Tamandua tetradactyla: one gene and its partner. The protein of the gene in region 1 interacts with the protein of each later gene in a biochemical or structural test. Links are inferred from orthologs where the notes say so. Each region holds a gene or a part of one and is shown in the gene's direction. Other genes may lie near its edges.

Evidence for each region. The genes of interacting proteins can lie anywhere in the genome.
Region 2: of the proteins of AKT1 (region 1) and FOXO1, one has a biochemical effect on the other in vitro, tested with the Homo sapiens proteins (4 studies listed by BioGRID). The link is inferred for Tamandua tetradactyla from reciprocal best matches to the Homo sapiens genes AKT1 and FOXO1.

The regions. Positions count from the first base shown.
Region 1 is NC_135340.1:87,905,911-87,912,944, forward strand, and holds the start of AKT1 (RAC-alpha serine/threonine-protein kinase), read left to right. Parts: upstream 1-4,034; 5' UTR 4,035-4,108; intron 4,109-6,468; 5' UTR 6,469-6,559; coding exon 6,560-6,605; intron 6,606-7,034. UniProt on the Homo sapiens protein: AKT1 is one of 3 closely related serine/threonine-protein kinases (AKT1, AKT2 and AKT3) called the AKT kinase, and which regulate many processes including metabolism, proliferation, cell survival, growth and angiogenesis.
Region 2 is NC_135330.1:99,397,837-99,405,567, forward strand, and holds the start of FOXO1 (forkhead box protein O1), read left to right. Parts: upstream 1-4,725; 5' UTR 4,726-4,868; coding exon 4,869-5,444; intron 5,445-7,731. UniProt on the Homo sapiens protein: Transcription factor that is the main target of insulin signaling and regulates metabolic homeostasis in response to oxidative stress.

The DNA.
Region 1 (7,034 bases):
CCAGGTGCGCCAGGTTTTGTCCGAGAGGCACGGGGAAAGCACCAGCCGCAGCAGACGCGGCGGGACGCGGGAAAACGCAGTGAGGGCGGGAGACCGAGGTGCCTCGAGAGCCCAGGGCGGAAGCACCAGCGTCCTGGGAGAGACAGGCGGCCCCGCGGGATTTGTTCCCCAGGGGCAGGGCGGCCGGGGTGGAAGGGGCAGCGCCAAGGCGTGGGAGGGAACACCTAGTTCTGCGGGGAGAGGAGTTTGGAGAGGCTGGGGTCCCACTGTGGGGTGTAAGGGTGCACGGCCCTCCGCGACCATTTCCCGCGGCAAGGCGTGGCGGATTCGAAGACACCAGCTAAGCGCATCCGCGGAGCTGGTTATTCGTGTCATTCCCGTTTGGGCCGGTAGGGTAGGTAAGGTGCACAGGGCCGCTGGCCTTGTGAATTGGGGCCAATCCCCCCAGTCTGATCCTGAACCCCACCCCTGGGGAGCCACATATGGAGGCCGATGGGAGTGCTTGGGTGGCCCCTGGGGCTGGTGCAGTCCCCAGGCAGGCCCTGGACTTGTGTTGAGAACAGGGCTGGAGGAGGACTTGATTTCCAAGGACAGGAGGGGGGTGGGGAGAGGAAGAGACAGGAGGAGTGCAGCCTGCAAGCACCCTTCCCTGACCCTGGAGGAAGGGGTGCCAGGAGGAGGGAGAGGGGAGGTGTGCAGGGGGCTACTCAGGGGCCTGGTACTTGGGGGTCCTGGGGCACTTGGAGGTCTTGGGGCCTGCCTAGCTAATAGATCCCACCATCTTTAGGGAGGGAAGGTCACAAACTGCAATGAAAAGTAATTTGTGGTTTATCCAAATTCAAATTCCACCAGGCACCCTGGGTTTCTGTTTGTTAAATCTGGCAGCTGCAGCTTGGGCCCCTGGAACCACTCCCTTTGCAGCCAGCTGAGGGACAGCAGAGCCCTGGTTCTGTCCGGGTGGGGAGCCCAGCTCTCCCCCTTCCATCTGAATGATTACCCCCCACCTCCACCCCACAGGAATAGCTGAGTTCCAGGAATTCTGAGCACAGGTGCCCCTGAGGTCTGCCTCTGACCCCTTCCCAGCCTGGGCTGCGACCCTTAACCCTGCCGGGCCTTAATCTCCTAATCCGTGAAACGGGAGCAAGGGTGGTCTTTGTTCAAGAGGTTCCAGAATGCCCCTCCCGGGCTCTGCTCATATGTCCCCTTGGGAGAATGACTTTTCCTTAACTCTGCAGCCGCTCTCCCCAGCCTGCGTCTCCCCACCTTCCGCTCATGGGCCTCCGCCTTCTAGTGCGTCACAGTATCTGTCAGTCCTTGCTCTTTCTTCTCTCCCCTGCCCTGCCCCCCATCTCCCTGTGGAAGGAAGGGCCTGGATTTTGTTCACTGTCGCATCCTTGGTGCTTAAAAAGTCGGCCCGGTACTAGTGGGTCTCACCAATACCTGCTGAGTGGATGTACAGTGGTGCTTTCTGTTACTGGTGTCTGTGTGTCCTGCTGCCCTCCATGGCAGCCCAGCCATCAGGAGCTGTACCCCCAGGCCCTGGGCCCTAAGAGGCTGGGAGGCCACGTTGGGGCCCCGGCTGACAACTCCTTGATGCAGCTGAAGAGGCCCTGGGGCACAGAAAAGGGACAAGGGGACCCAGGCTTGGCAGGGGTTGTGGATGTGGAGCGGAGCGGAATCGACAGGTCTGGAAGCTGCCGCAGGAGCCTGGCCATGGGCCTGGGCGGCGGGCACTCCTGGGGATGGGGGTGGGGTCTGCCTCCCAAGCCTGAAGGAAGGGCCGTCCAAGGCCACGTGGTCTGTGAACCTTGGGGGACCCCTTCTCCAGACCAGTGTGGAAGCAGTGGCAGAGCCACCAGCATGGGCCAGTGTGAGCAGAGCCTCCCTAAACGTGTCCGCAGGCCACCATCTGGCCTGGGGGCTGCCCTGAGGCCCCGCCCTGCAGCTGCTGCCAAGAATATGTAGTCCTGTCCCAGGGCAGCGGGCAGCAGCTGCGGGAGGCGACAGGGCAGGAGACCCATGCACCGCCCTCGGGATGGGGTGGGGGAGTAGGCAGCAGTTTTTGTTGAAAACACCTGGCCAAGGAGGGCTCTGGTGGTCCCAGCAATGTGGACCCTCTCCTTATGACAGTCTGGGGAGGGGCAGGGCAGAGGGGTGTCTTTGAGGAGGGGCGTCTGCCTTTTCTCTGGGAGGCCAGAAGGGATGGGTGTGAGGCTTGATGGGTACAGGGTTCAGGGAGAGCAATGAGCAAGTTGGCCAGTGAAACCAACAGTGAAACCTCTGGCCCGGATGCCATTTCCCAGGCAGGCAGGGAAGGTGGCCTGGGCAGTCACAGTCTCTGCCATGAGAGGGCGCCCTCCAGGCCCGCGAGTGGCCACTCAGCCTCCCATCCCCAGGCCCCTGTCCCCAGCCTCCCGGCTGACCCCTCAGCTTTTTTCCCCCAACCGGCAAGGATGGGGCGGTGGGGGGGGGGCATCTAGTGTACTGCAGGAGGGGACGAGGAAGAGCCTCCTTGGAACTGGAGAGCAGTGGACAGGTGCGACCAGTGAGTAAGGGATAGAAGACACAGAAGCAGGACACCCAGGCTGTGGGGGGCAAGCCTCAGGGCAGAGACGGGCCCAGCTTCTGACCTGACCTCTGACTTGACCTCTGACCTGACCTCTGACCTAGATGGCCCCTCCTGGGCCTACACAGCCGGAGCTGGGCCAGCTGTGCTGGGGAGAGGGGATGGGGGAGTGGAAGTGAGCATAGGTGTCAGATGAGACTCCAGGACCCAGAGGATGTTCCCTGCCTGCCCCAGTCCCTCCGTAGTTAGCCCCCAGAGGCAAGGCCAGAGCCCCGGAAGCTGGTCCACGGTGAGCCTCTGGCCCAGACTGCCTGCCTCACCTCACCCCCCATCCCCACCAACTGAACTCTGACCCCAGATGAAAAACAAAAATGACCCGCACCCATCCCCAAATACTTACCAACCTCATTGGGTGACTCAGCTGGAGCCCTCCTTTTACCAAAGATTATCACCAGCCCAGAGGCTCGGGGTGTGTGTGTGTGTGGGGGTGGGGGGTGTTGGTCAACTGTTGGAGAGACTTCAGCTCAGGGAGGTATTGGGGCTGGCCACTACCCTCAGTGCCCTGCAGGTAGAGGGGGCTTCACTCCCACCCTCAGAATCCCACTTGGAGTCCCTGCCTCCGGCCAGCCCCCAGTTGCCCTTCAGTGGACTTGGGATGCCTGGAGCCCCCCTGGGGCTCAGCAGGGTCCTGCACTGTCTCAGGAGTCTACTCTTGAGTCTGCTGTAGCCCCCAACCCCAAAACACCCAGGACCCCAGTCCCTCTGGCTATCTGCACCCAGCTCCGATCCAGGCACGGCCAGGAGGTGTGTGGGGGAGAATGCAGCCCCCTTCCTAAGCCCCCTTTGCTTCCAGCCCTTCTCTAGGGGACCAGGGCTCCCCTCCCAGGGCCCTTCAGTTCTAGATGAAGGGGTTCAGCCCCTGGCTGTAGGAACTGCATGCCAGCTTTGGAGGGCCCCCTCCACTTGGCCTCTGGCCCCCAGGCCCCCAGCACCCTGCCTGGAGCAGGCACAGAATGAAAGTGAGACTACTCTCTGCCTGCCTGTCCTCACAGGGTCAGAGCAGCTTTGGCATTACAAACGGGGAAACTGAGGTTGGAGAGTCTGCGGCTTGTGGCCCGGCTGTGCGGTCCCCGCGGCGGGGCCAGCCGGGTGCCCACCGGGCGCTGCCGCCCTCCCTGGGGCCGGCGGGGGCGGCGGAGGCGGATGTGGGCGGGCGGCTCCGGGAGGCGGGAGGCGGGCGGCGGGCGGCGGGAGGCGGGCGGAGGGCGGGGAGGCCGCGGCGGGAGGAGCGAGGCGGGGGCGGCCGGCCCAGCGCAGCCAGCGCAGCCCCGAGCGGCCGGAGCCGGCGGCGAGCACCGAGGCCCGGGCGGCGGCGGCGGCGGCGGCGAGGCCCGGCCCGAGGCAGCGCGCCCCCCGCCCGCCCGCCGCGGCCTCCCCGCCCGCACCGCCAAGCGCCGGGCCCGAGCGCGGCCGGGGATGCGGAGCGGCGGGCGCCGGAGGCTCCGGCCCGGCTAGGCCCGCGCTCGCTGGACGCGGCACCCGGTGAGTCCCCTCGGCGCGGGCGGGGCCCGGATGTCCCGCGCGGGCCGGGCGCTTTGTTCCCGGGCGGGCGCGGGCCGCGGCGCAGCCGGAATGGAGGCCCCGAGCAGGAAGTGGCCGAGCGGCGCCGGGCGGGAGGGCGCGGGGAGGGCGCGGGCGGCCGGGGCTGCGGGCCCCGCCGGCCTGCCTCTCCCCCGTGACCTTGGGGGGCGGCTCTGCGGGGCAGCCTGGAGCCGGGGCCGGGCGCTGCCTGGGGGCCTGGGGGGCCGTGGCACCAGCGGGACGCCTGGCCGGCAAGGCGGGTCCCGGCGGTACTGGGGCAGCGTGAGGAGAAAGCTTGGATCGAGCCCGCGTTCAAGTTTGCCAGTGGGGACGAGACCTCATTTCCCCCCAGCCCCGAAGTTGTAGCCGGTGGCCCGATGCCCAGGCTAGCCCACCAGGGATACTGCTACCCCCCATCCCCATGCCAGTTCCCTTCCCGTGGCTGGGGCCTTTCCTCCAGGGCCCCCAACTGCTTCCTGCTGTAGTGGGCTCTGGGGGTGCTGCCTACCCATCGCTGATGCTGGAGCCTGGAGGACACTGTGGCTTTGACCTAGACTGAGGGGTCCTGGGGCAGTCGATGACTCTCCCCAGCCAGAACGGTCCTGAATACTGTCCTGGTGGGCAGACGCAGGGGCCCGAAGTGGCCCCCACATTCACTCCTGGGCTCCCAGCTTGCTCCAGAAGGAGCTGCTCTTCTCTAAGGGAGCTTCGTTCCTGCCCCCCAGCTGAACACCCATTTCCACTGTGTCTCAGGGCAGAGGAAGGTGGCTGTGACAGAGCCTGGAGTGTAAGAGGAAAGCTGTGACAGCCATAATGCCCGGGAAGTTGGGGTGTTCTGCTGCCCTGCGGCTGCCTAGCTTGTACAGCTGTGCACATGCCACCCTGAGTGCACGCACAGGGGCTGGTGGGCTCTCGGCAGCTGCCCAGCTCCGTCGGTACCAGTCCTGGAGCATGTCTGCTGGAGTCCTACAGCCTGGGGCTGGGGTTGGGGGTATTGGGAGGTGAGTCCAGTCCCCTGCCTCTGGGCAGTACCCCTCAAATCTCAGCAGAGCACCCTCTGTGCTCACTGTGCTGTGACTCAGAGCACTTTTCTTGGTACCAGTGTCCTACAGTCTCACTGCCCATGGCCTGCCAAGTGTGTTGGGCCCGGCCCTCTTGGGGGTCTGGTGTTGGAGATGGGCTGTGGCCCTCCCTGCTGCTTTAGATGGGTCCCAGGGGAGAGTTTCTTCCAAGCCTGCCCTCAGGAGTGCCCATCTAGAGGGGTAGCAGAGGACTGCCCAGAGGAAGAGCATGCCAAGTGCTCTTTCCCAGAATGCCCAGAGCCGGTGACATGGAATCTGGGTTTTGAGGGATGCCTAGGAGTCCATCCAGCAGGGGAGTGGTGGAGAAGGCCACGCAAAATCCATGGCCAGCGTGTCTGCTTGAGTGAGAGCTGGCTGGTGGGCTGCCGTGGGGCAGGCGCCAGTGCTCTGCCGTTTGTACTGTGCCCCCCTCCCCTTTTGTTGCCTCTGAATGCTGTGATTATGGGTCTGTAACCATCCTGGACTGGGTGCCCCTCACTGACAGGACCAGTCTGAACCTCTGTTTGTCCTTCAGTCCCAGCACTGGACCTGGCAAAACCAGAGTTGCCTGGCACACATGGGCCGAATGAATGAACCAGATTCAGACTGGCAGGGGCTGTGGTTTAGGAGGGGCCTGGGGGTTTCCGTGGCGAGGTTTTTCACGCCGCCCTGGACAACTCTGGGCTCTCATTTGCTCCAGCTGCCTGTGCTCCCAACTCAGTCCTCTTCATGTTTGAGCTTCTCTCCTTCCCCAGTCTGGGGCTCAGGGCGGCGGTGCCCCAGCCTGGGCCGGGATTCCCAGCCTCCGGGTAGAAGCAGCCCGGGCAAGGAGAACTAACGGGCACCCGTGGCCAAGGCGTTGGGGAGGCAGGCTGGGGCAGCCTGGACGCTGGGGCTGGCAGGTTCGGGAGGCTGGGATGGGCTGGGAGGGTCCTCTGGGGACGGGGACCAGGGAAGGAGGGGATGGGCAAGGCCCACAGGGGCGTGGCTGAGGACCCGAAGTCTGGGGGTTGGGGGAGGGAAGCTAAAGGGGCTTGAAGCTCAGGCCAGGAGTGCCCAGCCCAGGGGGCAGGGGGCAGGGTCAGAGGGGAACATGAGGCTGGAGCAGGGCTTTGGGGAGAGAGAAAGTGGAGGGGAAGAGCTGGAAGGCTGTGCCGAAGCTGGGACCCTGAGGTGAGCTGGGCGCAGGATGTGGTTGCAGGGACAGAGGGGCTGGCCTGAATGCAGGACATACCCTCACCCACTCTCTGCTTCCCCCAGCGTGAGGGCAGGCCTGCTGGGCTCTGGAGACCTGGTCCTAGAAGGAGCCTGAGGGTGACGTCTGGCCACAGCGGCTGCAGAGCTGGGCACCATGAGTGACGTAGCCATCGTGAAGGAGGGCTGGCTCCACAAGCGAGGTCAGTGCATGCGGGCGCGGACGCCGCGGGGGGCTCCTGGGTCTGCAAGCCTGAGCGGAGCCACCAGGCGGGCTGCCTTCTGAGGCTTCTGGCCTGGCTGGGGTGAGCATCTAGGGCCCCACATCCCCTCGTGGCGTTGGGGTCACAGCCTCGAGGGGCGCCTGGTTTGAGGGACTGAGGGGCCAAGGCTCAGCCTACAGACTGGCCAGCAGAGAGGCCGCCTAGCTGGTGTGGGTGGGTGGGTTGGAGGAGCGGCTGCCAGCCTCCCGCCCGGCTTTCCTGGAAGGCAGCGAGGACAGTGAGGCGTTCCAAGGCCTGGCACACTGCAGCCTGGGGCACGGCCCAAGGGCTCCTGAGGGCAGGCAGGGCTGCTTGGCTTGGCCCGGTGCCTGCCTTGGGTCTGAGCTGGCGGTGGGCAGCCGCAGCAAC
Region 2 (7,731 bases), on another chromosome or scaffold:
TAATAACTTCAAGTGGCTGCACAAGAACCTACCTTACAGCTCTGCTCTTGTTTTACTTAACCATTCCCATTCTAATGTCTGTCATTTAGATTGTCTAAAAATACATTTTTATATTCCTGCAGGGACCCATGAGCTGTCTTTCACCAACATTCAAAGTGAAGGAATAGAGTTTATCGAAGCTGACAAACAGTGGCTGCATGCAGCAGAACCAAAAACGGATAACTGGTTTGTAACTTTCCCCCCTGTTAGGAGTAGTAGGCAGGCAGAGTCTATCTGTGATGGACAAACAATCTGATGCAGTCTCTGTAGAGTCCACTGAAAAAAATTATGTTAACATATATACAACATAGACATAAATTCCCTCTGTTGTGCCACCAACACCACCATCCCTTACCAAGCTTTTTGATCACCTCAAACAGAAACTCTGTAGCCATTAAGCAGTAATTCCCCAATCTCCACCCACCCCACCCCTCCTGTAGCCTGTTCTCTTATAGCCCACTTTTGTCCATTTGGAATAAGATCATTCCAACCGTGAAGCTCTTTTGCCAGGGCTTGATGTCCCCAAGCCTGTGGATGGTACGTTAATTTGACTTTTCCACCTTATCTCATTTCTCTCTGAAATGGTGACTATGATAATGTTTTGATCCTTTCTGCCTTAGCATTCATTCCTAATATCCATCAAACGTTTTTGTGTGTCATTCCTTCAAATAAATAATCAACATGCATTATTGATCATTAAAGAGCTCTGTATTCTTAACACCGACATCAAGGAAAACAAACCATTGTGAACCCGAGGAATTTACCACCTGAACAGCTGGCACACAGTAGTGCCCTGTAAATCTTGGTGGAATTGATGACAAAATCCAAAATCCCTCAAGAAAATGAATGCCTACTGCTGACAGTCCTGTAGCTGCCAGTAAGCCAGCTTTCAGGGTGTTGGCTTCAGGCCCCCGGGCTGTGTTTGTTCAGGTTATTGCTTTCTATAGGCCAACTGAGGCTTCTTTAGGTTCGTAACAGTATCCTCTAATAATTCAGAAAAATATAGTGGAAATGGACAAGTTCGGGAAAGGAAATGTGGAAGCTAAGTGCCATGACTGAAAAATAAGCATTCAAGCTTTTCACTTACTCATTAAATTGGACCTAAATTACTTATTTGGACAAATAAGAATCTAAACCAGAGATTGGGATGCAGTGAATGCAGAAGTTTCCATCTGGGAATTGATCAAAATGACAGATCCCTCAGCCTTGCTGCAGAGATGATGCAACAAGTCACCCTGAAAATCAGGCCCAGCAAAGGACATCACGTTTGATGCTCAAGTGAACTTTGGGAGAGTAAATTTCTGTTTCATTTTAATTGCCCTTGCATGACACCAAGTATTTCTTCCCAATTTGGCCACATGCACTAATACGTGATCATCATTGAGAAGAGCCTTCAAAGCCAACAGCAACCACAAAAAATACGGACAGAGAAAACTCTTTTGTCCTTAAACAGAATTAATGCAACTTAAATACTTCAGTCTCTTGTAGAGAGAGATAATGTTTACATTTTTCACTTAAAAAACAAAAACACCTCTTTTGTAACTTTTTTCTTTCATTATCTTACTATCATGTTTTTGTGTCTGCTTTCTTGATCTTTAAATCAAACCTGTATTCAGTTCAGTGGAGTTCATGTAGCCAAAATTACTAAGATTCTGTGGTTTAACTGGAAGGAAATATACCACAAAGTGACAATGGTTATCTCTGAATTGGAATTATAGGATATTTATACCTTTCTTCTTTATACTTTTGTGGAGTTTTCTGAATCAGCTATAATCAGCATGTGGAGTTTTCTGAATCAGCTATAATCAGCATGTGTTACTGCTATTAAGCAAAAAAAAAAAAAAAAGAAAGAAAGAAAAATAGGAATTACTTAAAAATTCCCTCACCTTGTACAGAAGTACAGGAATCTGGTGTATAGAGACGGGAAAGCAGGAAGTGGGGCTTTAGCCTCAGCACCACCGCTCTTTCATTGTGATCTATATCAATAATTCAAATAATTTAGCCTCTCTGTGCCTCGGTTTCCCTATCTATAAATGAAGGGGGACCACCAAGATGACCTCTAAGATTACTTTCAACCTTAACATTATGAGTCCATCAGAAAATAAAATTTAACTTGATACAATCCTGATGCAGGGTTACGGCATTCCTCCCAAATTTATCGGCCAGTCCTGCAATCTCACTTTGGAAGATCCGTCCTCAGCTCTCTGTGCAGAGATTCAAATTACGGTTGGACAAGAGGCTTATGGCCTGTGTGACAGCTAATGATTGGAAACAAGTTCACCAAGAAGGGCCTCAGAATATCAAAACATACCACAATAGGAGGCAGCTATAAAAAAGAATGAAACCTTTTAAGATATATTTTTATTTTTTTTGGAACTATGTTTCTGGAACATAGGTTCTTGAAGGTTCTCTGCGCCTGCTTCAAGTCAAGTTTTTCAAAAAGACCAAATGTCCTAGGACATTTAAAGAAAAAAATATTATTAGGAAAGACCGCCAAGCAGATTTCAAGGATCTGGGGAAAGTGCAGAGTCCCTCCTTCCAGGCAGGCCACAATGGCCACTGGCTTCCTCTGCAGAGAAGGATCCCCCAGGGCAGCTCTCCAGCAGGGGGGCTGAGCAGGGCTGCCCGAAGCAGGACAGGCTGCAGCTCCAGCCTGCCTGGGTTTGACCCCACTGTCTGGGTTACGAGGCCCCTAGTGACTGGTCAAACTCAATAGTGAGTATAAGAGCACAGAAGAGGAGGCCCCCACCCCATCCCCATTCCCATTCCAGCCAGCTGACCTCCGCCCACAGTCAAGATGTCCTAGTAAGTGGATCAAGAAGAAATAAAAGGGTTTGGACTACAGGGATGATAGGTGAGAATATAAAGGAAGGAATAGCGTCACTTATGCCTCTCCAAATCCTTTCAATTTCTGTAAATGCAGTGTGATTTTACAGGTCACTTTTTCAATTTAGGAATTGTCTATAAGAAAGAGGGGATTTAAAAAAACATAGCATTTTGGACAAGATATTTTTAACTCTGCTATCTTCCATTCTAAGTGAGCCCATCCCTCTAAAGGAAATGTCTTCCATATTCTTCCTAAAAAAGAAAAAGCAAAGCAAACAAACAAACAACTTGAAGAGAAAACTGTTTCTCCTACTCTCTGAGACACAGGGGCCTTTGTCTTCCTACCTGGACGTGCTGGCCCTGGAACTCAGCTGGGGAAACGTGGGCTGCGGGTTGCGGCGGCCTAAGCCAAGCCGGGTCTGGGCAGGACCGCGCCCTGCGGCGTTGGCCCGCTCTCTCCTTGTGCTCTGCTCCTGTGCACCTCAGCACCTCATTTCCATACAGAAAAGAACGTTCAAATAGCTGAATTTAATTGGGAGCCAGGAGTAAAGTAATAAGCTTCTTGCTAAATGCTCTCCTCTGACCTCTTCGCCCACCCAGAGAGAGGTTCCCACGGAGAGTAATAGGTCTAGGTGCATTTGGATCTGTTTGTGCGTGAAATTGAGCTCTCTCTGCGCGCCGAGCCCCCTTTCTCCTTTGCAGTTCTTCAGGTCAAGTTGGAGTGATCCGGGTTCGACCGAGTTGCAGTCTTTCCTCCGACACCAACGGGTGGGTTCTTGGGGCGGAGGGGGTGGGCTCTGCTCTGAGCGCGGATTAGTAGGCTCTGCCCGAGGCTCTTGGGGCGGACAGGTGGGCTCTACTCGGGGCTCTGGGCGGGGACAGGTGGGCTCTCCTTGAGGCTCTGGGGGCGGACAGGAGGGCTCTGCTCAGGGACAGGTGGGCTCTGCTCGGGGCTCTGGGCCGGGACGGATGGGCTCTGTTCGGGGCTCTGGGGGCGGACAGGTGGGCTCTACTCGGGGCTCTGGGAGGAGACAGGTGGGCTCTCCTTGAGACTCTGGGGGCAGGCAGGTGGGCTCTGCTCGGGGACAGGTGGGCTCTACTCGGTGTTCTGGGCGGCGACAGGTGGGCTCTGCTCGGGGCTCTGGGCGGGGACAGGTGGGCTCTGGTCAGGGCTCTGGGCGGGGACAGGTGGGCTCTCCTTGAGACTCTGGGGGCAGGCAGGTGGGCTCTGGGCGGGGACAGATGGGCTCTGCTCGGGGCTCTGGGCGGGGACAGGTGGGCTCTGCTCGGGGCCCTGGGCGGGGACAGGTGGGCTCTGCTCGGGGCTCTGGGCGCAGACCGTGCAGTCCCTGCGGGCCGAACGACTTGACAGATGAGCTGCGGTGGAGCTGGAGGGCCCGGCAGTGTGGCCGCCGCCGCCCCCGCCCCCGCGCCCCCCGCCAGGCTTCTCAAGTCGCAGCCGGCAGAGCGACGCCGCCGCCACGCTGGTTTGCCTCCCAGGAATCGGAAGACCGAGACGGATAGAGACGCACGGCAAGTCTCGAGAATTACCCACAAAATCGTAACAGCTCTCAAAAGCCAGAAGCCCAGAAGGGAGCGGGGGGCCGAGAAAAACACCCCGCGCCCCCGCCCGGGGGAGGTGGCCCGCCCGGGCCCCGCCCCGGCCCCGCCCCGGCCCTCGCCCAATGGCTGCCCGGGAGGCGGCGCCATGCGCCCATTGGCCGCGCGTGCTGTCAGTCGGGCCGGGCGCGCGCGCGCAGCGGGGCGGGGGCGCGGGCCCGACGCCGGGCCGCCGAGTCGCCGCATTCAACAGGCGGCAGCGGCGCGGCGGGAGCGCGGCGGAGCGGCAAGCGCCCACCTTCCTGCGCGGGCCGGGCCGCGGGCAGTGCACCGGCGCCTCGGCGGCCCCGGAGCCGCGGGCCAGGGTCTGCGTTAGGCTTCGGCCCGGCTCCTGCTCGCCGCCCCTCCTCGCTCGACCGCGGCCCGGGAGGGCGGGGGTCACCATGGCCGAAGCGCCGCCGGCGGTGGAGACCGACCCGGACTTCGAGCCGGTGCCCCGGCCGCGCTCGTGCACTTGGCCGCTGCCGCGGCCGGAGTTCGGCCAGTGCAGCTCGGCCACCTCGAGCCCCGCGCCGTCGGGCGCCGCCAACCCCGACGCCGCGTCCGGCCTGCCCGGGGCCGCGGCCAGCGCCGACTTCATGCGCGGCCTGAGCCTGTTGGAGGAGCGCGGGGACTTCCCGCGGGCGCCCGGCTCGGCGGCGGGCCCCGGGGGGCTGTGCGGGGACTTCCAGGGCGCGGAGGCGAGCTGCCTGCGCCCGGCGCCGCCGCCCCCGCCCGGGCCACTGCCGCCCCCGCCCGGGCCCCCAGCCGCTGCCGGGCCGCTCGCGGGGCAGCCGCGCAAAAGCAGCTCCTCCCGCCGCAACGCGTGGGGCAACCTGTCCTACGCCGACCTCATCACCAAGGCCATCGAGAGCTCGGCGGAAAAACGGCTCACGCTGTCTCAGATTTACGAGTGGATGGTCAAGAGCGTGCCCTACTTCAAGGACAAGGGCGACAGCAACAGCTCCGCGGGGTGGAAGGTGAGCGGCCCGGGCGCGCGGCTGAACCAGCCTGGGAGGAGCCGGCACGGGGGCAGGTCGGGCTGGGGGTGGGCGGCGGGCTTGGCCGGGCCGGGGGCGGCTCGCGGGGCCAGGGTAGGTGCGCGCGCGGGAGTTGGGGACGAGAGAGCAGGGGCTGGCCCGGGGGCAGGGGAGTGGAAAAAGTGCGCCGGGAAGCGGACGCGGGGAAGTGGTCCACTTCGCGGCGCGCCCAGGGCCCGCTCGGACTCCAGCCGCTGGCCTTTCCCTCCCGGCGTTCGGGGTGAGGGCGGCCTCCCCAGCCGCGGTTCGGGGCAGTCCCGCGGAGCAGTTTCCGCCGCGCCGGGCGGGGGTCCGGGCCAGGCGGGGTCGGTGTGGGGCCAGCGCGCGGTTTCCGGAGGCCGTGGGCATTCTGCTTTGTTTTGATTTCTCGGAGGGGCCTCTCCAAGCCCCAGGTAGCGCCTCCGCCACGTGCCGAGGGGCGGCCGCCGCCGGGGAGCGCGGCCGCGCGGGGCTAGCCGAAGTTCAAGTGTGACCCTCGGCGGGGGCGGGCGCTGGCGGCGCGAGGGCCCGGGCGCAGGAAACGAGCGGCTTTAAAGGGCCAGCGCGTCCGGCCGCGCGCGGCTAGGTGCCCGGGCAGGCGGGGCGCGGGGCCGGCCCTTCCCACCAGGGCATCGTTCCCGAAAGGGCCTGGCCCACGTCCGAGGGTTGTAATTAAGCACGGAGGGCCCCGCCGGGCGGCCAGGGTGCCCGGGGCCGGGGCCGCACTCCCTCGCCCCGGCAGGCCGCCGCTGTGGCAGCGAGCGCGGAGTCAGGATCCAGGGGCAGGGCCTGAGGGGCTTTGCGACCCGCGTCCGGGGTGGTGGAGGCTTGCGCCGCGGGAGTGCCCCCGGGGCCCTCTGGGCAGTTCCGAGCCGGGGGCTCCGGGGCGGATTTCCTGCGGGCCCGTGTGGATGGAGGCTGACGGTTTGTCGGCGTCCCAGGTGGAGGGCTTGATGTAAATAAGGCCGTCGGGCTGGGCCAGACCCCTCCTCCCTGGTGTCGGCCTCACTGGCCCGAGGACGCGCGTCTGCGGTGCGCTGCTCGCACCCAAGTTGTTTCAAAGACGCCGCCGTCCCTGTCGCTCCCGTGCGCCAGGGTCAGGGTCAGGCTGCTCGCAACGCACTGGGAAGGAGCCAGGACTTATTTTATTTTTTCCCAAGGTGTGGTTTAGAGTAAAGGTATCGCTAGTCCCAAACCCCATTGCTAAGCATTGCATGCCCTTTTACCAAGTGTTCCGATGGTAAATGCCTCCTTACCGTCGGCTCCTGTTCTGATAAATCACAAAATCGGGATCCTCTGTAAAAAAAAATCCAGCCTAACGTTTGAATTTAAGTACTTGAATTACTTGCTCACCTATTGATCCTACTTGAGCTGTTATAAAAATTTGCCAATTAAAAAACCTTTTTTCCCTGGTATTCACAGTACAGTGTGTGCTTCACCACCCACCTTGGAGGTGGATACAACCTCCTTTAGCTTGCTTGCTAGAGGGCCTTTCTTTAAAGATAGAGAAAGGCAGTGTTTTGCCTCTCTAGAGGTATTAGTTCTGGATAAATTTGGAATGTAACGTTTAAGATTTAGGTTTTTTTTTTAATCCTAAATCCGACATTTGAGGGCCATCCTGACCTCCCAACAGTTTTTATTTGTTCTTTACTGATCTTCTCATGTTGTTTTCAAATGCAATTCTAATTTTATCTTACCTTTTTTTTACTGGAGCTGGGAGCCACGTTGTGGAGCAAAGAATTCTCTCTCCAGCATGTGAAGCCCAGTGGCAGAGCCCAGAGGGAGGCTGGGGGCTTTGGGAGGTGGTGGCTGATCATTTTCAAATGAGTCAAGTTTTCAGGTGTAGCCAGAGTTGGTGCAAGTCAGATTTCTGCAAGTGATTTTCAGTTTGAGTAAAAGGGCATTTTTAAAAGAAAAAAATAACCTAAATTGTTCTAACTCTTAACTAGTCCACTGGGTTGGGTTTTCATATAAATGAGTTACTTGTTAAAACCAGGTTTCACTCTCAGATCTGAGCAACTCTGAGACTCATAAAAGGGAGAAATTTCTGTAAGAATTTTAGCTTTAAAGAAAAGAAAATCCAGTTCTAAAATGCAAGTCAACCAAAACTTTACTCTTTCAGTACTGAAGAGTGGCTCCTTTGGAACTAAATATTTCCTGTGCTTTACTGCTGGGAATTGACTGAATCTTTAATTAAGTCCCCTCTCTTGTGATCTGCTTTCTGGGCCCTGCCTGAGACGAAGATCGT